Rhinolophus ferrumequinum: one gene and its partners. The protein of the gene in region 3 interacts with the protein of the main gene of each other region in a pairwise test. Links are inferred from orthologs where the notes say so. Each region holds a gene or a part of one and is shown on either strand. Other genes may lie near its edges. The genes, in order: DNM2, EWSR1, ATXN3 and ARHGAP19.

Region 1 (7,265 bases), on a different chromosome or scaffold from region 3:
ATTGGTCCTTTTGCAGATCAATCCGCTGGCTGGACCGTTGCATTGCAGCCCATCGGCGGCCGGACAAGCAAAATCTCTTCGCCATCATCCAGGGTGGGCTAGATGCGGATCTCCGGGCCACCTGCCTGGAAGGTAGAGCCATGTGCTGGCAGGACCAGGGCTTGTCACATCGCTGGGGGCCCCACAAAGGCCTGACATGCGATGGTGCTCAGACAGTGGTTGTTAATGGGTGAAACGGCACTGCAAGCGGAAGGAACAGCTGAAGCAAAGGCCCAGAGGCAGAATGGAGTAGAATGTTTGCAGAATAATAGTAATTCCAATTGCCATCAATTTTGGGGTGTTTACCAGACACTATGCCAAGTTCTGATCATGGATCTGATTAAGTTCTGACCCACTGATTTTTCATAACCATCCTGTAAGGTGGGAGCTACCACGTTCCTGAGGTTACAGAAGGGAAAACTGAGGCATAGAGCTGTTGTCACTCACCCCAAGCCAGACAGCTCGGATATTGCAGAGCTAGGATTTCGGCCCAGGCCTTGAGCTCTAGACTCTACAGCATTAATTGGTACACTGAGGGCCTGGGGAACCATGGAGGGCTGTTGAGTAGGAGTGTGATAGGAACCAATGGGGAACCATAGAAAAGTCCCAGTAGGACAGGAAGCACAAGGCCCGTGAGGAGGCTGGAGTGGGTGCCCAGAGGAAGGGTGACAGGACTACAGCAAGGCTGTGGAGATGAAGGAGAGGCAGAGATGGGGACACAGAGGGGGAGGAAGAGGAAGAAGAGGAGCAGTGTTTCCTTTTGTCTGGCCACCCCTCACCTTGCCCTGTACCCGCAGAGATGACCAAGAGGAACGTGCCGGGCTTCGCCATCGGGGGCCTGAGTGGGGGTGAGAGCAAGGGCCAGTTCTGGAGGATGGTGGCGCTGAGCACTTCGAGGTTGCCTAAGGACAAGCCCCGATACCTGATGGGGGTTGGGTATGTCCAAAAGGGGGCAGAGAGCCCCCCTTTAGGAAGTGGATTTCTGGGCACCCCCTGCCCTGTGGTATGGGGGGAAAGACAGACCTGCCTGGGAGGGGACTAAGGACGACATGGACCTCTGCTGGGGGTGGTTCTGAGGGTCTCAGTCCAGGGGGAGTCTGAGGGTCGGGAGGAGGACCTGGGTGTGTGACCAGGGCTTGAGGTACTGTGCTCGTCTCCCCCCATGGCCCCACCCCCAGCTATGCCACTGATCTGGTGGTCTGCGTGGCTCTTGGATGCGACATGTTCGACTGCGTTTTCCCCACGCGGACAGCGGTGAGGCTCTGGGCGGTTGAGGCAGGAACCTGGGGGGAGTGCCAAAGTGGGTGTGGGGGACAGGGTGAAAACATGGTTGACCTGCCTTCCCTTCCCCCTCTCCTCCCCCAGCGCTTTGGCTCTGCCCTGGTGCCCACCGGCAACCTGCAGTTGAAGAAGAAGCATTTTCAGAAGGACTTCCGCCCCATAGACCCCGAGTGTTCCTGTCCCACCTGCCAGAAGTAGGAGAGGATGGGATCTGGGGCCGGGGCGGGGGGGGGGGGGGGGGGGGGGGGGGGGGGGGAGTTGTGGAGGAGGCAGGATGCTACACTGCTGAGCCCTGACCCCCTGTCCCCAGGCACAGCCGGGCCTTTCTGCACGCACTACTCCACAGCGACAACACCGCCGCCCTGCACCACCTCACTGTTCACAACATCGCCTACCAGGTGGGCCTGTGGCTTGGGTGGGCAAGGCAGGGGTGGGGGCGGGGTCTTCAGGGCAGGCGGCTGACACTGACACCTCCACCCCATAGTTGCGGCTGATGGGAGCGGTGCGCGCCAGCATCGTGGAGAAACGCTTTCCCGACTTCGTGCGGGACTTCATGGGCACCATGTATGGGGACCCCACCCTCTGTCCCACCTGGGCCACTGAAGCCCTGGCCTCTGTGGGAATCACTCTGAGCTGACCCGGCTTGGGGGCCAGGGGGAGGGGCTGGAAGATATTGAAGGATTTGGTTTTTTATTGTAACTCAGAGTGTGTCTGTGCCTTCTTGGGGCGGTGGCCTGTATTGGTCCCATTCCTGGTCTGAGTGTCATCACGTCTGATGTCCCTTGCTTCCCTTTGATAGTAACTAATAACCATAGTAACAGCTGGTATCTGGCAACCACTTGGCACAGCCCAGTATGAAGGAAGTGGCCCAGAGTGAGAGCTGCATTCCTTTGCCCATGGCTTAGGCCCCCCAGCCACTCTAGGGGTGGGCACTTGTCCTCCCACTTTTTACAGGTGAGCAAACAGGCCCAGGGAGGGGAAGTAGCTTGCCCAAGGTCACCATTGAGGAAGTAGCAGCCTGGCTCCAGAGCTCATGCCCTTAGCCTTGTCTCTCCCAACATGTGGCTTCATCTTGTTGTCAGAAAACACAGTGATAATGACAATAGGTGTGATCTAGCAAATGCTTACACGATGCCTGACCTTGTTCTAAATGGTTGTTATGTGTATTGTATTTTTGCAACTTTATGTTGCATGAATAGCTATGTTCCTCATTTTACAGATGAAGAAACAGGTTTATGGGAATCAAGTCACTTGGTCTTTATCACCCAGCAAATAAACAGGCCCAGGATGTAACCCAGATATGGCCAATTACAGAGTTGGTGCTTTTAGAAGATAAGGGTTTTTAAATTGAAAAAGTAATACGTAGGATCCACCATTCAAATAACATAAAAATGCAACTATTTTGATCAGTTTGTGTATTCTTCCAGAAATTTTCCATGTGTACATATTTTCATGAATGTTGGTATCCTTTACACACAGTTCTTTACCTTGCTTTTTTTCCCCCTTAGTATTTTTCAAATTGTTTACATGTCAGTACATGAGGAGTTCCTCATCTTATTTATAGCTGCTGCATAGTATTTATTTAACTAGCTCCATGGATGGGCAGTTAAGAGTGTTTCCAGGTTATTCTGCTATTCTAGTCAAGGCTGCAATGCCAAATCTTGTTGGTCTCCTTTTGCCCATCTCTCTGAGACCTGAAGTTTGGGTCTTGAAGCAGTCATATACTACAGGCCGCTTGAAGCAGTCATATACTATAGGCCGCTCTGCCATCCTCCTCTCCACAGTTTCTCCGAATCAGCCCATTTTCCCACCTCCATAGCTCCTGACTCCCTACTGGGCTCTTCTGCATTCTCCGACCTCCTCAGTTTCTCTCTGATCCATCTATGCCCAGGAGGATCAAATCACTTCTTAACGTGTCTTTTCATAGACAGAAGATCCGCTGAGTTTCAATGGGTACTCAAAAAGATCATGACGCGCCGAAGTTGGGGCCGGGGAACAACGTTGGATGCCTTAGTCTCATCTAGACTGGGTGTGAGCGGAAGGTAATCCGAGGAGAGGATACAGCATTCGCATAGGCGTGGAGGTGTGACTTTATATAGGAATGAGAGTGGGAGACGACAATACAGAGCTAGACTGCCTCTTCTTAGGATCCTTAGTATCGCTGAACTCCCACCTTCGAAGCGCCCTGGAACCCCGCGCAGAGAGGTGGTTTGCAAGCCCCGGGCCGAGATGTATTCTGGGACTTGTAGTTTTATTTAGAGCCTGGCAACTCAACAAGTGCTGATCACCACCGATTTCCACCAATAAGTGTCGCCCTTCAGAGGTTTCGATGGGCCTTACCCTCTGCTCCAGAAAACTTAATAGACATACAGAATACGAGTAAGAACGGGATATTGTTGATTGACAGGTACAGTTCTCAATCAGAGTTAAGATTCGGAGGTTAAAGTCCGCCCTCTTTCGGTTTGTTGGCTAATGGAATGGAGTGATATTTTTATAAACCAATGGGAAATTTTTAGAGAACTAGGTAGCGTCAAATGACAAACGCAGGTCTAAAGGATCGATCCCTAACATCATTGGCCAGCGTTGTTGACTGGAGGATCTTCTTGCCAATAAAACTGGCGGATTTTCATGCCTCCCTCTAGCAGGCGGAGCCAACATGCCTTTTCCCGAAACACCACCTACCAGCCTTGACATCTCGGTACCCGCCTCTATTGGCTTTCGCATAACAGCGACAGTTCTAACATCCAATGAGCCCGCGAGGCGGTCCCAATGGGGAAGGCTCACTCAGCCTTAAGTCCGTGCCTCACTTTCATTGGTTCGCGCTCACAAGTGGCAGCTTGGCCGGCCAATTGAGCGTGGCGCGCGGGCTTTGGGCGCAGCCCCGAGGCCCTGGCGGGAGGTCGCTCGGGTCGGGTGTCGCCTGAGAACCGGATGAAGTGGCGACCGTGAGGCCGAGCCGGACCGGGCGTCGCGCCGAGGCCCGGGCGGGCAGGGAGCAACGGCCGCGGACGCCGCGGGGCCGTGTCGTTGAGGGCCGGGGGCGGGCGGGGAGCGCTGGGCGCTCGGGCAGGGGCTGCCGGCGCCATGGGCAACCGCGGGATGGAAGAGCTGATCCCGCTGGTCAACAAGCTGCAGGATGCCTTTAGCTCCATCGGCCAGAGCTGCCACCTGGACCTTCCGCAGATCGCCGTGGTGGGCGGCCAGAGCGCCGGCAAGAGCTCGGTGCTGGAGAACTTCGTGGGCCGGTGAGCGAGCGCGGCGGCGACCGCGGGCGGGCGGCGGCCTAGGGCGCGGAGGGCGGACCGGGAATGGCGCGCCCTGCGCCGCCGGCGTAACTGCGGCGCTTGCGTGCCTGCGGTGGGGACCGGGACTGGGAGGCGGGTCCTGTTGGACGCCCTGAGTGTAGGGCTCCCTGCGAAGGCTGGGGAGTCGGCGCAGGCCCAAGGCGGGTCTAACCGGCTGGGGGTCGGGGGGTGGGCCAGGAGCTGCGGTGGACCGCTGCCGACTCTGGTCCCCACTTTTAGTGGGTGAATTCTACCATCTGGTTGCCTGTGGGTCAGGGATAGGTCTCTCTTCTCTGTCCAAAACCTAGATATGTTTTGGGCCGACCCCTGCGGTCTGGCTGGCTGTTCATTTATCTGGAGCAGTCCCTGCTGTCTGGTTAGCTGTGTCTCTGTCCTGGATAGGCCTGCCTGCTACCACCATTTGGTTGTCCATCTGTCCAGTTCTGCAGGGCAGCCCCCTGCTGTCTGGCTCGCTGTCCAGGATGACCTGTGTAGTCTGGCCGCCCATCCGTGCCCCTCAAAGACTTTAACACTTAGCCATCCTTCTGTTGGGTTACCCCAGTTGGCCTCTGCTATCTGACTGGCTGTCTGGACCTAGGGGAGCCTGTTGTCTGGACTCTTCAGACAACCCTGGAGCCTGGCCTCACTCTTCAGTTTGGTCTCTGGCAAACACTGGCTCCTCTCTTCCAAGTGGATCTTTTAGTTCCTCTCTCCTAGTGTCTGTCCTTCTAGTCTGCCCATCAGTGCCCTTAACAGCCCCTGTCTGGCCCACCCTCTGTGGTAGGGGGTGATAGGAATTTAGAGAAGAGAAGGGAGCTGAAGGATGAGACTTGAACTACTCCCTTGTCAGTTGGAATTAGGAGTTGGGGGCGAATTTTCTCCGGGATTCTTTCCTGGCCAATGACAGGGTGTTTCAGGACCCCGGAACACAGGGGCCAGACACCAAGCTAAAGCCTGCCAATTGGGGGCCCTCTTGGAGCCTGGGAAGGGACTTCTTGTCTGATCAGGCCTCCATCTTAAGAGCTGGGATAAGGTCTTCCCAGGGCAGCCCTGAGAAGCCTCAGTTTGCCCATCTGTTCAGTGGACAGATTTCACTCTCTGTGTTATTTCGGGGATTCAGGAAGCTAATATAGAGAAGCGGTCCTGTGGCCAATGAGGTCGGTTGATTCTCCCCTCTCCCTTCTTCTGCCTCTTGCCCTTCTGCTTCCCAGATGGGCGGCCACGTTTCTATTCTGGGAAGGACTCCATTTGTGACTGGCTGTCAAATGATAATGTCATAGTCATTGTCATGATTACTGTTCCTGTTATCAGTGTGAAGGAGTAATGTTAATCCACTAGGCAACCAGGCTGAGTTCTTTCTTGGTTCAGAGTCTTGAGTTCCTTGATGAGCAAGTAGGGTGGAGGTTGTTATCCCCACCTTAGAGATGAGCAGGGAGGCTCAGAAAGGCCCGGCCATTTGCCCAAGGCCACCAGCCTGGTGCTCACTTGGAGCCCAGCTGAACATGCGGCCCCGTCTCTGCTTTCCCGGAGGCCTGGGGTTTTGTTCCCAGTGGCATGAATTTCCTCCTTTGCTGCTTTGTCTCCTGGCACTTTGCCCTCTGTCCACTGTGACAGAAAGTGTGGGTTTGGGGTCAGCTCAGCCTGGGTTGTGGGCCTCTCTGCATGGCCGTCTTCCTGCCTGCCCAGGCTTCTGGTGGGCATCTGCAAAGCTTTGTCCGTTTTAGTTGCCTTTGACTTTGCACAGGTTTTTGACCTCTTTGAGCCTTGTTTCCCCCTCCTAAAAATGGGGTGATGGTCCCTCAAGACTGTTGCAGGGATGCAGTGACATAGTATGTTGAAAGTGCTTATTTAGCATAGTACCTGGCACACAGTAGGTCTATATGGCCATTATTCACTGTGCTGGTTCCTCTCATATTGACAACAAAAGCTAATCAAAGTTAAAGTGGTCTCAAGTTTCACACTGGACTTCATTTAAGCCTTATGAGGGTGGTACTGCTATGATCCCATTTCACAGACCAGGAAGCTGAGGCTTAGAGAGCTGAGCACTTTTATTTGAGGCTGTTAAGTGAGGAATTGGGGGCTTTGAGGGGGAGAGTCTTTCTCCTCTCTCCACCTTTCTTCTGTCCCTCTGCCCCTTGCCTTTCTCTCCCATCCACGCTGGCGTCTGGTGACTGCCAGCTCCTACTGAGCTGGCTTCTGTAGCAACCTCCTCCCCTAAACCCGCAATGCGACATCCTTCATTAAGAGCATTAATTTGGGGCCTGAGAACCAAAGTTGTCAAAAGGCCTCTCTTTGGGTAGGTGTGTTCTGACAGAACTAATTTCTTTTTATTTCTGGAATGTGGGGAAGGCCCCTCAGCTACAAAGCCCTGATCCAAGGGGATGGCAGATGGACTTCACTTTGAATTGCACTCCCTACTTCTTTCTGGGCATTTGGTCAAACTGTTGTTTTGTTCTTCTCATCGTGGACCAGTACAGTGGATGTCCCACTGATTTCGAGGAACAGACAAGAGAGGGTCCAAGGTATGTGCCTGGGGGTCAGCACACGTTGCTCCATTTCAGTGCCTCCTCCTTGTGGATTTTCTAAGAATGTGGTTGGAGTGGGAATGACCCAGTTAACTTAGCCCTGTATGGGGGTTGCATATCAGTGGCCCCCGGGGGC
Region 2 (7,451 bases), on a different chromosome or scaffold from region 3:
TGAGGTCTCTACAAGTAGTGAAAACAGAAAACAAAATGGTTAAGAAGTTCTCACAGCACTTCCGAATTAAATGTACGAGTATACATATATAAAGTTAATTATTTTAAAAAATTCTGTCCAATTCTTTGCTCTCCATAAGAATATACGTATCTGTCAGAAGACAATACCTCCATTAGGCCCAAACAAGTGTCCTTTCTATTCCAGTTAGAAAGTAGACCTTCCTCTGAAAGCAACAGTTTGACATCTCAGCTCTTTATGGAAGGGTTTCCACCCCCCCATCAAAGGCCTGCCTGAACTCATCTCTTGCAGTTGGCTCATCTTTCTACCCCTACACTTGACTCAACTTTCTTTCCTCTGTACACCCTTAGTTCAGAAACCTGAATCAACATTATTAAATCAACTGCCCAAAGGCTATGAATTGATTTGTTCAAAGACAACCTTATAGCATTTGAAAGTTAAACGTTAAGGCATTTTCAATGGCACTACAAACCATGCTCTTTATGTGGCAAATAAAAAGTAAATGAAAATCACTTATTCCATGTGGTATTCACAAAATACAACAAGGAAGCATTGAAAATTGATAGTTTAACCTACATTTCGAGGTTTCTGCTTGAGAAATGATTCTAAATCATGACATCTAAGTTCAATGTTTGCAAGAGCACTTTTATACAAGAACGGTTATGTAAAACATAAAACTGGCAAAGCTGATATAGAACAACCAATGTTCTCAATCAACATGAAACCAGATGCTTTAGCCCCACATTGGTGGGCTATGGAAGGTAGCCAATTTGTTTTAGGAGAACTTACGTTATCTACTCACAGCACACAATTATATGGCCTCAAAAATGCTCTTGTCACACACTAGTCAGATTATTTACCGATCACTGTTTTGCTTTTAACCCCCAAATGTGCAGTTGAAGACTTTACTGAAAATGGACAGACTGGGGGCGAGGGCTGTGATCTAGGTGGGCCTTTAGAGTGCTGGCAATATCTGCATGCAGTCACTCGGGGTGTGCATTTTAATTTGTTAAAATGGACATACCCTGCATTTTAGATACTTTTCTATATAGATGCAAGTGAGGAGGAAACACATTTAACACTACCCAAGATATGGGGGCTTTTAGATACTTTAGGGCAGTCACTATACAAACTGTGGAGATTTAGAACTTCAGACTACATAAAAAGTGAAAGTCAGTATGAGGCAATTTTGTGGGAGCCAAAAATGCTTTGCTGTAAGGTCAAAAGTTAAGGGCTTTGAAAGCTCTTAAAAGGTGTAGCAGCTCCTTTATTTTGAACGAAAGGAAACCAAAGTTCAGATAAGTTATGTGACTCCCCCAACATACCCCAGCTGGGTCACTTTCTACATAAACTGCAACTGTAATACTAATATAGTACATAGTACTCAGAGGTTAGCAGTAAACAGAGTCTGAGCAAAGCAGACAAAAAACTGGCATATCCAGCCACAAAAATTTTAACACATTTTGACTGCCCAAGCTTTAACAGGGAAGGGAGAAGAGGAAGGTGGAATGGGCTGAGGAAATCCCTTTCCACCAGGATGTCTTGGGCTGTGATATTTCAGAGTCCTTTCTTCTAGGGACACTCTGTACCCTGGCACCAACAACCAGCATTTACCTGCCTGCTTACTGACCACACAGTTGGAGAAGAGCTCCGTCTAACCTTTTCTCCTACAGCTTCTAAGGCCTAGACTTAGACCGCCTAAGAATAAGGCCCGGGGGAAAATGCCCCACCCTACCGATAACCTCAGGTTAGTGCGGGAACAGGCTGCCAAGTGCAGGTGATGTTTAGGCTACACTCTTAAATACTCCTCGCAGGAAGGCCCACCCTAGACACCACATTTCCAGCTCCCACTCCGCGCCTCCTTCCCTCTCTACCGGCTTAACCTAGGCAAGTGCAAGTGTGAGACGACTGCTTAAGCATAGTACAAATGCCGACCCGGGCCTTTTGTTTCTCTTAGGCCAGAAACTAGAGAGATTTCTTTCGGTAGGGATTTCTGGCCTCGCGATCCGGGCTGGTCTCATCATACAACGGATCTCTCGGCGTTTGATGAAAAATAACCCTGAGAAGCCACTTAATTGCTTTTTGGGGCGGGATTAATGATGGTGAAAACGAAGAAGCCGGAGGGAACAGCCGACTGGGGAGATTTTGAAGGGAGGGGGAGCACATCCCTTGTAAGCCCAGTCGGGCAGAAATTCGGCTTGGGGCTGGAACCCGCCGAAAGGGGCAGCTTAGGTGGCACCGGACGCCCCAGCAGACCAGGCCCTAAGCATGACGGGGCTCCTGCTCATAGGTCGGCGCCCCTCGGCTCACAAATCCACGATGGCTTTTTTTATTTGCTTTCTCCCCAAGCTTTTCGGTGAAATAGAGTCTCCTTCGGGTTTGGGCCGTCTCTCTGTAAATGGGGGTGGGGAAGTCGGAAGGGCAGCGGGCTCACGACTTCGGGAACCATCGTCCGGCCCCCCCCACCTCAGGTTTTGGGGTGCCCGGCTCGAAGCCGGACCGAGCGCCATCCCCGGCGGAGCTCTGAAGGCCGCAGGCCCCGCCCACGTGGCGGGAGGCCGGGCGCGCGGGGCCCGACGGCCGCCACACAATGGAGGCCACCGCAGGCCCCGCGCGCCCCTGCCGCCGCGAGCCCCCCGTACGGCGGGGGCGCTGGAAGGTTCCAGAGCCGGCCTACCCAGTGGGGGAGGGGACGGGAACGTGGGCCCTCGAGCTCGTCGGGCCGCGGCGGGTACCTCACACACTTCTCAGAAACTCCACTCAGTTGTCCCGGCCACCCCCAGAGACGAGCTGTCCCGATTTGGGAGTCCCGGCCATCGCCGGCGCGGCCGCATTTCCACCACACTCACCCGTGGACGCCATTTTCTCTCCTTCCTTCTCGTTCTCTCAACGTCCGTCTCCCTCTCGCTTTCCCTCTAGGCGCCGCACTGCGCAGGCGCGAAACCCGCAACCTCGGGCGCTACCATGGGGCCAGGCCACGGGGGTGTGGGAAAGAGGGATGAGCCACAGTTTTTCTCGTTCTCCCGACCTCTACTCTTTTCCTAATCCTCTCTAAAGAGCGCCGGACTTGACGCGCGGGTCCAAATAGCAGCGAAGGGGCTGAAGCGGCCGGTGAGCGGATCTTGATACGAAGGCGGAGTGATTCTTCGCACGAGGCTAAATTGTTGGATGGTTACGTCCGCTGGCTCTAGGGACTGTCTCTGAAGAGTCTGCCTTGAAGGGAAACGGAGGCCGGAGGGAGGATTGGGGGAAGGGATCTGGGCCTAGAACAACTGCTGACTAATCGGCGGGCCGCGGGGGAGGGGGTGGCGCGCCGGCTGGTCCGCCGGGGTCACGCGCCCGACCGCGAGCAGAATGGGTTTGGGGCGCTCGGGCCTTGGGGGGAAGGTTGAGTACCGACTCCCAGCCTGGGATCGTGCCCGGCCTTCCGCGGGCCGGGGCGCGCTCAGCAGTGAGTACCCCGGACACGTGGCCCAGGCCGGCGAGGGCGGGGGCTGAGGCAGGATGGGAGGCCCCGAACGTTGCGACCGGCCCCGAGAGCCCCCCAGTAACGGTCGAGGTTGAAAAGGCCCTTTAATCATTCTTCATCCAATACTCTTGTTTTTACAGAAGGGGAAACTGAGGTCCAAGGAATTTGGGTACTTTTCCTAAAGTCACAAAGCTGAGTCCGACCCGCACCCTGGGACCCCCACTCTCTCCATCACCCGGAAGAATCTTCCCCGTCCTTGCCTTCCCATTCTGTCCGCCGGTTTCCCAGTAAGGTAGGTAGGGTCTGATGGTTTATAGCCCCATTTTATAGATAAAGAGACTGAGGCCAGGGAGGTTCAAATCCCAATTCTGTTTGTCCATGGGCGAGTTCACCCTTGCTAAGGTACCTGAGGGCGGGGGACTGGAGAGGTGGAGGGGGGACTTGGTTGTGAGGGTGCAGGAGAAAGCCTAAAGTGGATTCCTTGTTTCCGGACAAGGGTGGCACTTGTCTCCCTTTCTACTCTCAACCCAATCTCACTCAAATCCCTCAGCGGGTCGTGGTGCCAAGCTAGTGTCTTTCTTTCAGTGAATACATATACAGCACCAGCAATATGTGGGGAGCAGCACCCTGAGGAACTTGGGGATGAGTGAGAGGAGCGAATCCCCCGACCCCCACTCCAGCTCAGATCACCTGCCAGGGAGAAAGGCTAAGCCGTGCTCATTAGATATGATAAGATTCATGATGTGGGGGCCCAGAGATGGAGATGGGGACATTTGAACTGGGCTTCAAGGGGTGCGAAAAGAGTTTGCCTGTTGAAGAGATGGAGGAAAGGACATTGCAGACAGAGGAGCTTTCTACATTTTTCCTGCAGGAAACTGGCAGGTGGGTTTTGATGCTGAGGGTGCCCTTGGCAAGGGAGCAGATGAGGCCACCTTGTCTCTGTGGGATTTTGCTTCCTGCCCTTTGAAATCAGTTCAGTGGGACTCCTGAGATAGACAGACCTGGCCAAGGCTGAGGGGATTCCAGCAGGGCCTGCAGGACAGGTGGGGTGTGAAGGGAGAGCACAGGGGAGAAAAAGCCTTGTCATGTGGGCAGGGAATGGGCACGATTGAAGGCCAGAGCTTGAACCACTGAGGCTGAAGCATCTGCCTCCCACAGTTTGCTGTGGGCTCGCCCTGCCTTAGTCCATTCCTTTTTCTCATCCTACACGGAAAGGCTTTTATTAATCCCCATTTTACAGAAGAGGAAGGAGAGGCTTAGAGGATGCAAAGCTTGCCCAGGGATACACAACAGGAAGAAGTGGATACTGGACCGGTCCTGTGAGAAGGGGAGGGGCTGTGCTCAGGGTTCTAAGGAAGGGGATGTCTCAGTCCAGTGTCACTTTGTATGCTCTCAGGGTGTGGGACTCCTGCTGCCCCCCCCCCAAGCTCTTCTGCCCCACTCCCTCCCTAATCTGCCTGCCCATTGGCTGGTCTCTCTCCCTTGGTCAAGGGCATCTGAGGCCATCCAGAGCTCTAAGCCTGGACACAGTAGAGGGGGTAGGGAGGAAGGTGGCTGGTCGCAGCCTGAGGAAAGCTGGAGATGGCTCTGAACTTGCCCCAGGGGTACCTCTTTGGGAGTCCAGGGCCCCAATTAACTTCCCTGGCCCTGTGCCTCCCACCCCTGGCTCCTCTTCAGGGCCCATGAGGGCTCTTTTGGCCTCGCCCCTCCATCCGCACACATAGGCAGGTGGACTGGCAAGATGGCTAAGCACATGGTTACGGTCCGAGTTCCTCTGGCCAAGTTGCTGAGACTGCCTCTCCAGCCTCAGTTCCTACTTCTGTAAAATGGAGCTCTTGGTAGGGTAGTTGAAAGAGTCAGACAAAAGCTGCAATAATAACTGTTGTTACTGTTTTCCTTTACCCCTAGCACGCAGCCTCAGGACCACCCTTGACCACCTTCAGCCAAGCTATGCGTGGCAGAGGCCCCCCTGCCCTCCTCTCCCCGGCGCTGCCTCTTGCTTCCTCAGTCCTGATGCTGCTCATGAGCAGCCTGTGGCTGGTGGGGGCCGGCCCCAGCCTCACCCTGGCCCCGGAGCTGCTGCTGGATCCCTGGCAGGGTGAGGGCTGGTCACATGGGCCTTGGAGGAAGCAAGAGACTTGCTTTAGGGCCTGAGACCAGTTGGCAGGAGCTGTGTGCCTCCTGCAGTGGTCAGGCAGGGATAGAACCAGTACCCTTGGGAAGGTCAGCCTTGGATGGGAGTACTCCTAGTTCGTCCACAGCCAGGGAGGGCGGAGGAGCCAGCGGAGGGGTGAGAGCCTGTGAATAGGAATTCTTTTCAGACAGCTTCCCTTTCTGAGGGCTTTCCTTGAAATAAGAACTAAGGCTTTCAGCTAAGCATGAGAATGGGGAGGAGGCGCTGAGGGTTCAGGAGTGACCCCAGCTGAGTACCTGTTCCCCAATAATAATAGCAGCTTCCATTTACATCTGAGGAACCCAAATGATGCTCACAGAGGTTAAGTGACTCATCCATAGTTGGTTACTCTTGAGAAGACCGAGTGGTAGGTCCACCTTGTTCTGCTTAATACGTCCTGGGAGCAGCTCCAGTGTTTGGAAACCCTTGGTTCCCTCCACGAGTGATTGCTGGCAGTGGGCAGACTTTGGCTCCTGGGGAGGGGAGGCTGGCTTCAGCGGGTGGCCCTGGCAGAGGGTAATTCCCAACCTGGCACACCTGGGACAGCCTTTGGGGTTGGGGCCACTAACCTGGCACATAAGCCCCTCTTCTCTCCCAGCACACCGGCTGCTGACCCATGCTCTAGGCCACACGGCCCTACCCAGCCTGCTCCTGAGTCTGCTGCTCCTGCCTGCACTGGGCTGGCAGCAAGAGTGCCACCTGGGCACCCTGCAGTTCCTGCATGCCTCCATGCTGCTCGCCCTGGCCGCCGGGCTAATGGCTGTGCTACTGGCAGGCCTCGGGGTGTCCGGTGCAGCTGGTGGCTGCGGATATATGCCTGTCCACCTGGCCATGCTGGCAGGGCAGGGTTACCGCCCACAACGGCCCCATGGGGCACTGCCACCATGGCTGTTGCCATGGCTGCTGCTCGCCCTGACACCCCTGCTCAGCTCTGAGCCACCCTTCCTGCAACTCTTTTGTGGCCTCCTTGCTGGCCTGGCCTGTATCCTTTGGCTGGGCTCTGGGCCTGTATGGACATGTGGGTTCTGAGGCTGGGCCCCCAAGGTGCCTGGAAAGGAGGTGGCATAAGGGGGTCAGACCCAACAATGCCGGGAAGCTGTGCACACGTAGACGTTCCAGGAGCATCTCCATGTTCTCCTCCAGCCAGGCTTCTGGGCTGTGGCCTGGGGGCTCGTGGCCACAGGTGGAGGTACCAATACCAATTTAAAGGGGAGCCTAGAGTGCTGAGGTGGCCCAAGGAGGCACCTAACCTGGACCTCCCTAGTAGAGGTGGCATCTAAGCTGATGCGTGCAGGATGAGGGGTTAAAATGTAGTGAAAAAGGAGAGGGCCAAGCAGAGGGCACAGAAAATACAAAGGCCAGGGGTGAGAATGAGCTGGGGTTCTCTGGGCGCCGAAAGGGAGAACCACCTATGGCTGGTGGTGCATGTGCATTAAACACAGGCTTTTGCTCCAGATGCTGAATGCCTGTTGGGGAAAACTGCAATCTGAGAGAACAGCGGGCACAGGCAGACCCCTGTAGTTATTTAGGATCGGGGACACCAGCTGCTGAGGCCTGGCTGAATCCCAGTATGGGGAGCAAGTTTCCCTGGCTCAGGGCAATAGGGGATGTGTTATTGAGCCCAAAGCTGCGCCTTGAGTCACAGACCTGAGCAGGTAGGTAGGGCTCTGGAAACAGTGGGTACGGGGTGGCTGAAACTGGATGATACAGCTTTTGGGGTGAGGCACATTGGCTGCTCCTCTCACTGGCTGAGTAGCTTCAGGCAGGTCCCTTTTCCTCTCCGAACTTCCA
Region 3 (7,517 bases):
AGCTTTCCCAAGATATTTTATAAAACCACAAAAGGGAACAGCATCCAAATCATTCCCCCATTGCCCTCAAAGATTTTAGGACCAACTTGAAACTAGTTCAAATTCCCAGAGACACTAGTGACTAGAACGGAAACCGGGCATGAACCTAAGTAAGGGTGGCTGTGGCAGGGCTCATGTCTTATTTGAGCCTCTCATCTGAGTGATAATAAGGTTCCATCCCTTTTGAGGAGATTCAGCAAACACAGGCATCCAAATAACAACAATGCCAGCTCTGCTACAGCGCTAAGTGCCAGGTAACATTCTAAGCACTCAACTCCGAGGAAAACGCTTTATTATCCTCACACACAGAAGAGGAAACTGGAGCAGAGATAGGAAGTAACTTACCCAGGATCATACAGGTAGTAAAGGGCAGAGCTGGGCTCCAAACCCAGGCAGAGGCTTCAAGTCTGTGCTATTAGGTACCACTTCCTCAGGCCACTGATGTGGAATTTGGTTATTACTAAACCTCAAGTATCCTGAAGACGGCTAAGAACAGGCAATCACAAAGGGCATAATAGATGTCATAAAGTCAATGCTCAGCATCTTTTAGGTGTTTTCACTAATTTTAAATATAACCCCAACCAGTTCAGTCATCATTCCCAGTTTATATCACATAGAAGTACCAATTCAGATGGTACAATAACCTCACCAAGAGCAGTCAGCAATAGATGTGATAACAAAAATGAGAGAAAGCAGGCACCGGAACTAAAAACATAAAAACAAAACAAAAAAGCAGTTAATGGCCATTTAATATTAGGGTTTAAGTTAGGGATTGGCAAACTCAAGCCCTTGGGCCAAATTCAACCTGCACTAGCAGCTAAGAATGGTTTTTATATTTACAGATGGTTGGGAAAACACACATAAACAAGAGTATGTGAGACTATATATGACCTGCAAAGCCTAAAATATTTACAGAAAAATTATTTAGGTAGACAGCACCATATACATCTTAGATGCTCAAAGAACTCATTTGATTCATTCAAATATTTATTGAGCACCTACTATGTGCCAGGCGCTAGAGAATATGTCAGTAAACAACTTGTTTAGATTACATTGTAACTTAATAAAAGGAACTGAAAGCAACAACTCTGAAAATGGGGAAACCAATATTCCAAGGAGAAGTGGTTACAGGGCCCTTTGTAGGAGGAGAAGCAAGAATGCTGGAAAAATGCACATTAAGGTCAAGTATTTTCATAATGGACTGTGTATGAGATTAACAATGGGTCCTATGATTACAGATGCTTTCCATACTCTTGAAATATGCCCAAAGAACTTGAGAAGAACCTTCGTTTGCTAAGTACACAAAAATTAATAAGCGTAAATGTTCTCCTGAAGTATCTTTAAGCCTACACACATGCTAATAATTGAGACTGATTTCTTTCTTATAAATGCATTTTCATTAGGCTATCCCCCAGTTTCTTTTGATCCCATGGTTTGGTAGTTACCTTTATTGAAATGTATCCAAAAGAGGTAACAACCAATATTGTTAAAATATATATATTGTGTAGGTCTCAAGAAATGGTGTGGAAAATGTTGGAAGTTTTCCATGTGGAAACATTTGGTCCTACACCAAAGCTTCTGAAACTTAGTAATAAAAATACATACATGCAAGGGTTCTCTTCATGCAATCTCCTTGACAAGCAACTAAATTTCTCTTGTCCAAGTTTCCTAAATTAGGTCAATCAAGTCAGGATTAGCAATAACTCTATCGGAGTTCTTCCTCCCCACGCATAAAAACTGGTCCATTCTAGAACGTGCCAAACTTTCTGAAATGTTTTCTATAAAGAAAAGCATTCCATTTAACAATCTGTTTAGATTGATGCTGTGTCTCTGGTCTTTGATTGCTTTATTTGATTGTCGTGTGTTAATTTTTTTTAAATAAATGATCATTTAGAAGTATTTAACAAAAGAAAACCCCTTTGCTCCTACTAAATAAGAGCCGCACCAGCAACCCTTTCCAAACGAGACTATTATGAAACAAGATATGTGCCATAGCTGTCCTGAGGAAGATTTCACTCACACCCAAAAGGCTTGATAACTCTACGTGGGAAAAGACGAGTTTCTTCACATGCCACAAACAGCATCTTCAAGTACGTGGTCATCGAAGAATCAAAACAAAACAAGCTAGGCGCACCACTGCAATATTATTCCAGTTCACCCCTAGTATCCAATAAGAAAGCTGGCTTCCTGATCCGGAAAGATAGAACTATCAAAAGAAACGAAAACCAAACATTTCCTAACAAAAACACTTATGACGACTTCCCTGTTTAGGGGCGCACGGGGTTTCCTACTTTGTCCCTTAGTGTCAGGCCCTCCGTGGGCTGAGCCAACGTCCCTGCACTCGAGAGACTCACGAACCTAGTGCACGAGAAGGACATGAATACACCACCAGGGAGCTAAGTGTATGAGAGATTCCAAAATAGAATTGAGTCCAGAGAAGGAAAAGTTATTATAATTCTGCCAGGGGTAGTATTGGGAGAGTTGGGAAGGATCGAGGGAGGTGTCCGAGAGGTGACTAGCTAAAACCTACGAGAGTAGGGAAGAAGGGACTGGAGAAGGAATCCCACGGAAAGTGGAAGGGAAGCACAGAAGCAAACCCACTCGGTGCCACCCCCTCTCCGGTACCCCGAGGCGCCCACCGCCCTGCCCTCACTCCCTCCCGGCTCCCCGGACATCTCGGACCCCGGGCTCCCCGGGGACCGTCGGCACTGGCCTCAGGGGCGGGGGGTGCGGTGGGGGCCTCGATGAAGCTCCCCTCCGGTGAAGCTCCGCCCGCCCGGGGAGATCGGGATGGGGGTGACTCGGGCCCCACCCAGCTCACCGGGAGGTAGAGATACCGCACCCCACTCCCGCCACAGCGCCGCACACCGGTCCCCCCGGATGCGGACACTCACTTTCTCGTGGAAGATGGACTCCATGTTTATTTGTCTGGAGCCAACGGCCCCCGCACCGAGCCAGCCCCCTCCGGCTCCGCCCCCCCGGCCCCACCCCTCCGCCCCCCCGGCCCCGCCCCGCTTCGACCCGCCCCTAAACACTCTCCTCATGCGGACCAATCACCCCCGAGGATGAGAGTCACGTGGACCGAAGAGCGAGTGAACGCCGGGGCTGTGAACGCGGGGACACGTGACCTTTGTAGCACGTCCTCTCGTGGACTGTTGCCTGGGCTGCTGGAGGATCCTGCAGCGCCTCCGGAGGTCTGGAGGATCTTCTCTACTTCCCACCCGTTGCTGTAGATTCTTCGGCTTGTGGGGGTTTGGGTAAGTGCCACGTGGGTTCTATGTTCTTTTTGTTTTCCACTTTACTTTGTACTTTCTACTTATTGTATCTGATTATGATTATTTAGTATCTTCCTCCTCTGCCTCATTAAAAACAGGTATCATTGCGTCCCCCAATACCTAGCACTTACGTGAAAATGATAGTTAATATTTATATAGGGCTTACTGTAGGGTGGGCACTCTTCTAAGAGCTTTGCATGTGTTAATGAATTTAATACAGCAACGTTTGATGCAGGCGTTGTTATTATCCCATTTTACTCATGAGGCAACTGAGGCACAGAGAGGTTAAGAACAGCACAGTGTCCAAGGTCAACAACTAGTGAATTACTAGTTTGGGTTGGGGTCCAAATCCAGACACCTTGTTACTAGTGTATGTGTTCTGGCCCTGAAGAGAAAGCATCAATTCACGTAGCTGAAAGATCCAGTAAAGAATGGGGAAAGGGCTTTGAGGAAGCTGAAGAAGTAGAGCAGGAGCAGGTGTTGCACCTTGAAAGTAGGGTAAGTAACCATGTTGAGCAATGGGTGGAGATTTTACACACATACACACACACACACACACACGAATGTTGGTCTGGAGTTCAGGAGGTTGGTTTGGCTGTAGAACTGGGAGTTGTTGACATTGAAAAAGCAACTAAAACCACAGGAGTGCATAAAATCATCTAGGGGGAAAAGGAAGAGCGTGAGAAGAATATCTGGAGCACAGCCCTGAGAGTGGAGGACTAGTCCAGGAAAAGGGAGGAAAAGCAGAAGAGTGTAATATCATGGAAGCCCTGGGAAGGAAATGTGTCATAGAGCAGCCAGTGTCACTTGCTGCCAAGAAGAGGTTGAGCAACGTAAGGACAAGGGCCCACTAAATTTTGTTGCTAGGGAGACCACTGGTGACTTTGGAGAGTGCAGGTTCAGAGTAAGAGGGGGCACCAGGAGGTAAGGAAATGGAGACCGCGAGTGAGGACCAGGTGCTCAAGGAAGGATTCGGTGACCACTTATTGAACGTCTCTGTGTGGTCTGCAGTCCTGCAGGCCCCCTGTATTGGGGAAATAGTCTGTGTTCTTAAGGACTTGTCGCCTAACTGGGGAAACACATCATGGTCTCATGAAGTGAAAAAATATGCAAAACAGTTTTTCTGATGTTTTTCCTAAAGAGAGTGTGTGTCCATGTAGAGAAACATGTATTTATATACAAGCATCTCTGGAAGAATATACAGGAATCCCAGAGGTTATGTGTTTGAGATGAAAAAGGAACTAGCTAAATAGGATACGGGTGGGAGGGAGACTTTTCACTACAGTTTTATTCTTGATTTTTGAGCTATATTATTAATGTATTATTCAGAAAAACTATGTGATTGTATTCATTTCCTAGGGCTGCTGTAGCAAATTACCACCAACTCGGTGGCTTAAAACAACAGAAGTTTATTCTCTCCCTATTCTTGATGCCAGATGTCTGAATCCAAGGTGTCAGCTCTGAAATCTCTAGGGGGAATCCTTCCTTGCTTCTTCTAGCTCTGGTGGTTCCTGGCATTAACTAACTTGTGGCCACATAACTCCAATCTCTGCCAGTGTCTTCACATGGCCTTCTTCCTTTTGGGTCTCTCCACGTCCTCTTACAAGGTACCAGTGACTTGATTTAGAGCCCACCTTAATCCAGGGTGATTTCATGTTGAGCTCTTTAATTACATTGGTAAAGACCCTATTTCCAAATAAGGTCTTTGGTTCTGGGTGGACTTGAATTTTGGAGGAACATGATTCAACTTTCTACAGTAATTCATTGCTTACTAGGATATACGCTAGCCAGAGGGCCTTACTGTTTTGTTCACTGTTAAATCCTTATCACCTAGAACAGAGCCTGACAGTATTTAGTAATGTTGAATTAATATTAGTCATTTCATTAGGCCTTCTAGACCTATTGAGCACATGATTAATAGCAAGAATAAAGTGAAAAGATCAATGCCTGGGAGTCAGAATGCAGGTTCTGGTTTTGGCTTTATCTCTGAAACCAAATTTCTGTATGATTTGGGTATTAGATTTTGTTGCATTTCCTATTTTAATAACTCCATTTGATAGTCAGCACTTCACTTTGCAAGACAACACATATCGTCCTTCAAAACCTAATGACCATACTCCCCAGAAAGCATTCCCTGCTCTCCAACTAATCCAGAAGTCCCTGTCCAACTAATCCAGAAGTCCCTGTCCTACTTATGAGCCCCTGTATGTGCTTCAGTCATACACAGTGCCTTTTACACAGCATCATAATACTTGGTTTAATCATGCATCTCCACTACCCTATAAATGTCTTGATGGCCGGGCTCATGTCTTATTTGATTTCGTATATCTAGTAGTTGATGATGCCTTTCAAATGAATTAGTGAAGCCAAGCGTCTGGGAACCATTCTTCATTCTTTCCCCCCGCCTCTTCTACCTCACCCCTTGTCCCAGTTTGACCTCAAATGCTATATATTCACTCCTCTCTCTCCCCTTTTTTCATTATTACTGCTTAGCTCAAGCTGCCTTGGTTTCGTGTAGTGTTTGAGGAGCTCTGAGTTATTCTTCTGATTCCAGTCTTAGTATGTTCGATTCATAGTGCTGTCAGTGATCTCTCAAAAACACAAATCTCAGCAGTTTTCCTTTCGTTGAACAAATGGAGTACTACTATGTTATCAGGCACTGGATTACAACCGTGAAAGAGACAAACAGTCCCATCTTCATGGAACTTATATTGGGAGGGATCTTTAAATAATGACACAAATCTTACTCTATTTAAAATCCTTCAGTGCCTTCCCATTGCTGGCTTAAAAAGTTCTACGATCGGGACCCACCACCTGTCTGGTTTTATCTCCCAGAATTCCCTCTGATCCAGTCACACCAGCTCTTTCCCTTGAGTTCCAGAAAGTTCTCTGATGAAAAGTCCTTTGTGCCACCACAGTACCTTGCACAGGCCTGTATTGAAGCATTGATTACATCATACTGCGATTACTTTCTACACTACCAGACTCAACTTTTGAGGGTCAGAGGAGTCTTCATATAAAGTGGTGGTACAGAACAGTGAATAAATGCATGAATTCTTTCTGACTGATTGGCACAAAAAAGTATTACAATAATTCAGTAGAAGAGGTTACTGAGCTAATCGGGAGACTTCCTGGAGACAGGGTAGATGGAATAGTTGCACTTCCATACTTTCTATGTCCGCTCGGACAATCAGCTTTTCTCAATCCACTTCATTGAAATTTTATGTTAACAAGTGAGATTGCATATATTTCTAGCTTCTTGAACACTATACCTTTTAAACTGACATTAATTTTGTTACCCAAAATCAAATAGTTTAACAGAATTGTAAACGTTTGACATTTTAAAACTTGTAATGGCTGTTGGCTTGGGTCCTGAGTTCTGACAAGAATCAGTGATAATTTAGGGAATATCATTTCATTGTAATTTTACTTCTGAACTCAATCTCACCTAAAACAATGTCTCCCAAGAGAGGTAGTCGAATATGAGAGGACATATGTATATACGCATGAAACCATCACAATCAAGAAAATGAACATACTATACCCAAGTTTCCACATGCCCCTTTGTAATTCTTCCCTCCTACCTTTCTGCACCCTGGTTCCCCAGGCAATGACTGTTACTAGCTTGCAGTTTCTTACATTTTATATAAATGGAATCACAGTGTGTTCTTTTTGTCTCTTCTTTCATTCAGTATAATTAATCTGAAATTCATCCATTGTATCAATAGATTTCTTTTTATTGCTGAGTAGTACTCAATTACATGGATTTATCACATTTATCCATTCATTTTTGGATGGACATTGTGGTTATCTCTAATTTTTGGCTATTAGAAATAAAGCTGCTATGAACATTCACAAAAGTGTCTGTGTGAACGTATGCTATCATTTCTCTTGGGTGGTATCTCAGAGTGGAATGGCTGGGTCATATGGTAGTTGTGTTTAACTTGAAACTGCTAAACTGATTTACAAATTGGTACAACTCCTCCTGGCAGCTACGTCTTCCATTCCTGCCAGCAAGTGAGTGGGAGTTCCAGTAGCTCTACATTCTTGCCAACACTTGGTAAGACCAGTCTCTAATTTTAAGCATTTTAATAAGTAGGTGTGTAGTGGTGGTGTCTGTTTTTAATTTGTATTTCCCTAGTGACTGCTGCTGTTCAGCATCTTTTCACCCTCAAATCTATTTTAAAGTGTGCTAAAGTCTTT
Region 4 (7,785 bases), on a different chromosome or scaffold from region 3:
CATGGCCGCCCTGCCCCTCCAGTTACAGCCTGAGCTTTCTGAAGGTAGGAGTCAGGGCTCATTCAACTCTATAGCCCCAGTGCGGAGCTCAGTGCCTGATAGATGGTGAATCCCACACACAGATGCCCTGACTGCATGTGCTTCCGGTCCCTCTCTCTGCCAGCCTGTTGCTGGTGACCTGGCTGGGGAAGATGACCCCCAGGGTTTTTACCTTGGGGGTTCCAGCCCAGAACTCGTTCATTGCTAGCTGCCCAGAATTGGTTCCTTGACCTCACTGAGTTCCCTCCGTCACCCTCTAACGCCCTGTAGCCAAGCTTGGAGAGGATTCCACAGCAAAACGGAAAACGGTTTTCTTTTCTCAGCAAACGGAATAATGTAGATGTTAATCTTTGATGTGTCTGAAGGAGACTGAATGGTTTGCCCCGAATAAACAGGTGCCCCAGGAAGCAAAAACAAAACAAACAAACAAAACCAGGAATGATTTGTAGCACACATCTGTCTTTTAATATTTTTCCCCTTTTGGAGGTAATTTCTCACTTTGGCGGGACACAGGGCTTTCCTTCCGCAGAAGGGTGAAGATAAGCTACCTAAACTCAGCCAATCAGATGTTCTCACCCATGACTGCCTCTCCAGGGATTGACAGAAGACTGTGGGACAGACGGGAAATCAGCAGAGGGGTGACTCTGCTGAGAATCAAGTGGCACTGATTAGTGTGACCTTGGCTGGGATTCGGAGTCCCTAACTCCATCCCTTCCATCAGTTCTCCAACCTAGTATCCTTCCAACAAATCCAGTTTCTGTTAGGTTAGCCAAAGTAAGTTTCTGGTGCTTGCAACACAGGCTGACATAAACCTAAATGTGCAATTGGTGGGGACAATTTAAATAAACCGGAACATCTCTAATGTGGGATACTACACAGCAGTTTAAAAGAGCGAGAGCAATCTATATATGTACTGACATGGAAAGATCTCTAAGATGCACATATAAAGACCATATTTACAGCATATCAATATTTATCTAAAAATAAAACAAAATAATGTATTTCTCTCTATGTGTGTGTTACCTTGAGAATGAAATACTATAAGACAGGGACTTTGTTTTGTTCACACCTGGTATCTCCGGGCCTAGAACAGTGCATGGCACATGGTAGACATTCAATAAGTATTTGTTGAATAAATGTACTGTGTAGAAAATGATCTGGAAGATCGCATATCAAACTGAAAATAGTGGCTTCTTAGAGGAGGGACTAGAATGTAGGGGCGGTAGATGAGGGAGATTTTACCTGTATGTATTTGAAAAATTTTTTTTACAAGAAAAATGTCTTCATGCGTTACTTGTATAATTAAACAATATAAAAAGAGCTAAATATTAACAGGTGATGAGAAAGCCATTAAAATGATGATTCCCAGGCAGCCAGATGGCTCCATTGGGTAGAGCGCAAGTTCTGAACAACAGGGTTGCTGGTTCAATTCCCACATGGGCCAGTGAGCTGCGCCCTCCACAAGTAGATTGAAGACAACGAGCTGCCACTGAGCTTCTGGACGGGGCAGCCAGATGGCTCAGTTGGTTAGAGCCCGAGCTCTTAACAATAAGGTTTCCTGGTTCAATTCCCACATGGGATGGTGGGCTGTGCCCCCTGCAACTAAATATTGAAAACGACAACGGGACTTGGAGCTGAGCTGCGCCCTGCACTAACGACTTGGAGCTGATGGGCCCTGGCGAAACACGCTGTTCCCCAATAATTCTTTAAAAGAATAAAAAAATAAAATGATGATTCCCAAGACTTTATCATAACAAATAACAAGTTAGGTGGCAAAGAAAGGGGAAAGGAATGGATTATTGCAGGTGTGCAAGTGATATTTTGGTGGGGGTATTGGCCATTTTGACAAGAGAATGAACCGTTAACTTTTTAGTCTTTTTTTTAATGGTCAATAGGCACCCTCACCCCATCCCTAATTAGTCTCAATAGAGATGCAAAACTCAGAAATATTCATTACACTCATGAGCACACTTTTATATTTTCACGTGGGCATCAAAATGTCCTGCTTTAATTTAAGCAGAGGGAACAGCAAGAACAAAAGTGGAAAACAAAGATTCATCCGAGGACTGCCAGTCACTTGCATTGAAGTGCATTGAAGGTAGAGGTGGGGGTGTGGAAAGCATGATGTTGGGGTGGGGGCCATGGACAGATCATCCTTCTCGTTCTTTCTCTTCCATCTTCTACTTCTTCTTCTCTCTCAACTTTCTCCTTTCCTTTTACCCCCTCCATTGAGACTAGGGCCTGGAAATACAAAGATGATTAGAACACTACTTCTTTCCCCCAAACTTGAGGTCTGTTGGGGTAGGTGGATGGATTTGCATGACCTTTGTGGCAGACTCAAGTCCATGCCACTGCTCTTAAGCCGTCCCTGAGAGCCCTGGCCTCCAGCCCTTCTCCACCCTTCTGAATTCTGAGGAGTCTCTTCTCTACTTTGATAGCCCTCTGTAATTCTAAACTGTATGTGATTTATGTGTGTTCATTATGTCTCCCAGAGTCTATTATAAACTCCTTGAGGACTGGAGCCACTTTTCTGTGACCTTCTGTTCAGCCAGGCTGATAGAAACAAGATGACTTTCTGAACTTTCATGAATTCCTTCTATATAGCCATGCTTATCAGCCAGCTGACAAAATAGTACCTAGATGGACTAAAGATGATTTCAGGGGAGCTGTGACACCTTGCAGAAACAGAGTGTGCAGGTTTGTCAGCTTTGAGGGGTGGGGGTCCTTTTATAGCACTCAGCAATGATACTTGCTTTTAATCAGAAGTCACAGGGGAACAGTTGGTTTTGAGGAGAAACACTCCCCTCTCCAGAGTAAATGATGCAACTGTAACTTCAAGTGTAATGTATGGTCTTTATCACACAGCAATGGAGATAGAAGTGATATCTGAGAAGGGAGTTAAGCATTCTTGATATTCATCATATCACCTTGAATATTTATTTATCTAGTCCTGGTATGTGCCAGACACTGTGTTGCTAAGCAGCTTTTCAGATATTATCGCATTTAATCTTCACACTACCCTTCTGACAATTATTATCCTCATTTTACAGAAGAGGAAATGGATTCAGAAAGTAAAGCAACTTGCCTGGAATCACAGAGCTGAAGTGATAGAGCCAGGATTTGAACCTAGGTTCACTAACTCCAGAGCTCATGCTTTTAACTAGTGTGTTGTATTTCCCCAAATATTAAGGGCTTTGTATAAAAATGTCATCAAACCAGAGGAACCAGAAATATAGTTGTGTGGTGTTTCTCTGAGTTGTGGTAATAAAAATTTTGAACATTTCTTTTGTGTGAAAGAATCAATTTCATTCAGTCAATCAATGTGCTGAGTGTCAGGGGGCCAGAAAAAAGAACCTTGTTCATACATGTTTGTTGAATTTCATATATTTGCTGGATAAAAACAATTTGTTAAACATAAAACTAAATGCAATTTTATTTGACACTTTTATCAAACTTAATATGAATTCTCATAGATTGAAATAATCTATTAGAACATGTGATTCAATTTTTGACTTGGATAATATAGTCTGAGGACTTCTTTATTAATTTGTTCAAACGATATTGAAAGGCCACTATGTGCAAGATGCCATGGCAAAATAGACATAGTCTGTGCCCACTTGTGTCAGGAAGTCTAGTTTTGAACCTTCACATGAAACAAATGGTCACACAAACAACTATATAATTATGAATTGTGATAAGAGCTGTAGAGTACAGAGTGTTGTGTGCAAGTTTAATAGGGGAACTGATTTGTATAGTGGGCCATTGAAGGCATCTGAACCAGTGACATTTAAGCTGAGATATGAAAGATAATAAAGTGAGAAATGGGCCAGCCAGAACAAGCAACACCTGCGCAGGCTCTGAGGCAGGGAAGAATTTGTTGAGAAACTGAAACATATGTGGGTAGAGCTTAGTGAAAGAGAAGGAGAGAGCTGGGAGAACCTCAGGTAAAAGGAAGTCAGAAGGAACAACAGAAGAAATATTCCTAGAAAAATCCATAGATAAAAGCATAGAAAAAGAATACAGAAAAAAATTAATGCTTTATGTTTACAATGTGTTCATATCTGTTGCTTTAGTTAATCTTCACCAGAAGCCTGTCAGGCAGGGAAGACAAGTGTAATTATTATTTCTACCATTGAGGATTAAAGCTCAGCCAGGGAGAGTTATGCAGGTTTTGGTTCCATGATTCAGAACAGAGAGGCAAACTCGGTGGGTTCTCTGGGATGCCGGAAGGGAGCGGGTGGAATGAAGCATAAGTAACCTATCGCTGTGCTGTGTGACCATCTGAAAAAAGCAGGCTGTGAACTAAATTCAATAGTAAGTACTTCTTTGTTGCCACTCTGTACCTAGCCTTCTAGGTATCTCACTGTGTCAAGACAGAAAACGAAATCTTGCATTTAAGAGAGTGACTTTTAAAGTCACTTTCAAATTCGAGTTTTGTAATTCTGAGCTTTACATGTCAGGTCAAAATTTGAGCGTAAACTGCGGGTATTTGATTTGAACCTAAAAGTCAGGGTAATCCGAAGGGTTAATCAAAACGAGAAACTACAACTCCCGGAAGGCCCCAACCCCTTTCTATCCCGCTAGGGCAGGGGCTGACCAATGACGGTTAGTTGTTTGAATAAACCAATAATATCATGAAACTGTTTTGGTTGAGAAGGGGCGGTCAAGTTATCCAATCGTATGGAAGAGGGGAGAAACACCTTAGCCAATCCAAAGGCGTGGGGGTGGGGCCTGAGGTGGTTCAGTGAAAGAAGTTTGCCGACTGTGATGGCGACTGAGGCTCAGAGTGAAGGGGAGGTGCCAGCCGGCGAATCCAGGAGGAGGTGAGCCGAGTTCTTGGTCCAGCTGCCTAGGAAACCAGCCTGTGGGCTGGTCGTACTGACGCCTTTCCCTTGGGTCATGGTGACCAAACGGGCCCGGGCTTTGTGCCTTCCACCCACGGTGTTTCGCACCCTGGTGCCTGTTGAGGCTGAGGCGCGGTGGTCCCGCCCAGCGTTGGGCTTTAATCAGCCCCCGCTTTGTCCTGCAGATGTCCGTGGGAGGTCCGCCCGCGGTGTTGGCTGCAAACTGACCAGTTGGTGGTGTCAGGACTGCCTGCCTTTGCGCTGAGACTCATCTTGATGGTGAGGCAACTCAAGCCCAGAGCTGTTAATCGAATTCCCCAGCGTCACACAGCGCTGGGAGAGAACGCTGTCAGTACCTTTTAATCTACTCTGAGTCAGATTATGTACTTTAAGTCAGAGTAAGGATTTGAGTGTCAGTTAAAAAAGGGTTTGAGTCCTTGGGCCAATTTTTAAAAAAAATTTATTGTGGCAAGAACATTTACCCTCTTGGCAAAATTTTAAGTGTCCAATACAGTATTGCTGACTATAGGTAAAATGATGTGCAGCATATTTTAAGAGCTTATTCTTCCTGAAACGTTATGCCTGTTAATTAGTAATTCCCCATTTCCCCTACCCCCAGGGCCTGGGAACCACCATTCCACTCTAATTCCATGAATTTCACTATTTTAGATACTTTATGTAAGTGGTATCATGCAGTATTTGTCTTTCTGTAACTGGCTTATTTCACTTAACCTGATGTCCTCAAGGTTCATCCATGTTGTCACATATTGCAGAATTTTCTTTTTAAAAGCTGAGTAATATTCCATTCTATGTATATACCATATTTTGCTTATCCGTTCATCTGTCCATGAACGTTTAGGTCTTTCCACATCTTGGCTGTTGTTAATTGTGCCTCAATGAACATGGGAGTGCTAATATCTCTTTGAGATCCTGATTTCAATACTTTTGGGTAAATACCCAGAAGTGGGATTGCTGGATCATATGGTGTTCTATTTTCAATTTTTGAGGAAACTCCATACTATTTTCCATAGCAGCTGCACCATTTTGTTTTCCCACCAACAGTGTACAAAAGTTCCAATTTCTCCATATCCTCACCAACACTTGTCTTTTTTTTTTTTTAAATAATTGTCATCCTGACAGATATGAAGTGATATCTCATTGTAATCAGGAATACGGACGGCATGGATGCCCAATCTTGCCACTTCTGTTCAGCATAGTACTGGAAGTCCTAGCCAGAGCAATTAGGCAAGAAAAATCAGAAGGCATCTAAATCGGAAAGGAATAAGTAAAATTGTCCCTGTTTGCAGACATGATCTTATATATATATAAAGTCCTAAAAATGCTAACAAAAAGACTGTTAGAACTAATAAACAAATTTGTAAAGTTGCAGGATGCAAATCAACATACAAAAATCAGTTACATTTCTATACACAGTGAACTATCTGAAGAGGAAATTAGGAAAACAATTCCATTTATAAGAGCACCAAAAAGAATAGTATACTTAGGCCAATTTTTAAACCTCTCTCAGCTTCAGATTTTCCATCTGTAAATGGATGTAATGATGTCTAGTCCACAAAATGCCAGGATTAAACTAGACAATTCTATTAAAGCTCTTAGGACTGAGCCTTGCAGATAATAACCACTTAATACTTGGTAGATTTTCTTTTTCCTAGAACAACTGAAGAACAGACAAGAGGGATCTGCAGTTTAGGAAATCATCATTTCTACAGTGTTCTCTCCTAAGCAAGCACACTGAAACTTAGCATTTCTGAGAAAGAATTTCCAGCTGGTCTTGCTCCAGCCGTGAGATCTTAGTTGTCTTAATTGATTACACATACAGACGGTGCCATAAAAATATATACACAAATTAAGAAAAGAAAATACTGTGTTAAAATTGTAATACAATGAATAACGCTAGCATTCATTTGATTAACGCCATCTTTTGAGCAAATGTCATACTACACATTGCTGCCATAATTCAATTCAACCTTGAAAAGTAATACATGAATAACATCTCTTAAAATGTGTACATATTTTGGGCAGCCAGATGGCTCAGTTGGTTAGAGTGCGAGCTCTGAACAACAGGGTTGCCGGTTGGATTCCCACATGGGCCAGTGAGCTGCACCCTCCACAACTAGATTGAAGGACAACTTGGAGCTGAGGGGCCCTGGAGAAACACACTGTTCCCCAATATTCCCCAATTAAAAAAAAAAGTGTACATTTTGTTGGCACCTCTGGTATGTTAGAATTCAGTAGAATGAGCTTATTTTCATTGCCTCAGTATAAATCAGTAAAACACTTTAGTTTGATATCTCTTGGTGCCATTTATACTGAATAGGAGTTTCCAAGTCTCGTGAAGCTGGGTAATGAGCTCGCACTGAGCTCCTTCCCTGGTTGAGACGGGCGTGGTTTAATGTGTTGTTTAATATTTTATAGGAAGAGTTTTCCATTCTTGGAGCTGCCTATAAATCGTTGCCGGGAAACTGTAGAGGGGATTAATAAATTTGATTAGATCATTCCTTATCCTCCTGTAAAACCTTGAATTGTGATGAAGACAAAATACTATTCTGTAGCAGAAGTAGTTTGGATTCCTTTAGAGGATGTTGCCAACTGAATGTAAATTTTGTAATGGTATTAATTACATGATCAACAGGTATTCACAGCATCTTATCTGAACCTGAAACTTATCAACTCCATGTTGTAAAAGAGAAGTTGGGTTTCTGTAAGGCTTTTTGAGGGCAGGACATGTGAAGATTTTTATTACATATTCCCAACTTAGCTTTGCTTTGTTTAGGTGGTCAATAATGAATGAATAAGAGTCTCTGTCATTTCTAAGATATAAAATATTACTTTGTGGTGATAAATACCATACAAATATATTTTTTGCCCTGCAGATATTAAC

The links.
Region 1: the proteins of ATXN3 (region 3) and DNM2 interact in binary tests that used the Homo sapiens proteins (3 or more experiments, as listed by UniProt). The link is inferred for Rhinolophus ferrumequinum from reciprocal best matches to the Homo sapiens genes ATXN3 and DNM2.
Region 2: the proteins of ATXN3 (region 3) and EWSR1 interact in binary tests that used the Homo sapiens proteins (3 or more experiments, as listed by UniProt). The link is inferred for Rhinolophus ferrumequinum from reciprocal best matches to the Homo sapiens genes ATXN3 and EWSR1.
Region 4: the proteins of ATXN3 (region 3) and ARHGAP19 interact in binary tests that used the Homo sapiens proteins (3 or more experiments, as listed by UniProt). The link is inferred for Rhinolophus ferrumequinum from reciprocal best matches to the Homo sapiens genes ATXN3 and ARHGAP19.

The regions. Positions count from the first base shown.
Region 1 is NC_046301.1:39,642,730-39,649,994, reverse strand, and holds the start of DNM2 (dynamin-2), read left to right. Parts: upstream 1-4,257; 5' UTR 4,258-4,404; coding exon 4,405-4,565; intron 4,566-7,265. Other genes in the region: QTRT1 (queuine tRNA-ribosyltransferase catalytic subunit 1), read left to right, coding at 17-132, 837-975, 1,218-1,293, 1,405-1,514, 1,631-1,718, 1,805-1,957. UniProt on the Homo sapiens protein: Catalyzes the hydrolysis of GTP and utilizes this energy to mediate vesicle scission at plasma membrane during endocytosis and filament remodeling at many actin structures during organization of the actin cytoskeleton.
Region 2 is NC_046308.1:18,737,311-18,744,761, reverse strand, and holds the start of EWSR1 (RNA-binding protein EWS), read right to left. Parts: upstream 3,001-7,451; 5' UTR 2,881-3,000; coding exon 2,868-2,880; intron 1-2,867. Other genes in the region: RHBDD3 (rhomboid domain-containing protein 3), read left to right, coding at 5,438-5,585, 6,259-6,642. UniProt on the Homo sapiens protein: Binds to ssRNA containing the consensus sequence 5'-AGGUAA-3'. Might normally function as a transcriptional repressor. EWS-fusion-proteins (EFPS) may play a role in the tumorigenic process.
Region 3 is NC_046289.1:10,469,673-10,477,189, reverse strand, and holds the start of ATXN3 (ataxin-3), read right to left. Parts: upstream 3,002-7,517; 5' UTR 2,958-3,001; coding exon 2,934-2,957; exon of another isoform or gene 2,861-2,933; intron 740-2,860; exon of another isoform or gene 689-739; intron 526-688; exon of another isoform or gene 385-525; intron 1-384. UniProt on the Homo sapiens protein: Deubiquitinating enzyme involved in protein homeostasis maintenance, transcription, cytoskeleton regulation, myogenesis and degradation of misfolded chaperone substrates.
Region 4 is NC_046299.1:26,442,698-26,450,482, forward strand, and holds the start of ARHGAP19 (rho GTPase-activating protein 19), read left to right. Parts: upstream 1-4,769; 5' UTR 4,770-4,806; coding exon 4,807-4,862; intron 4,863-7,785. UniProt on the Homo sapiens protein: GTPase activator for the Rho-type GTPases by converting them to an inactive GDP-bound state.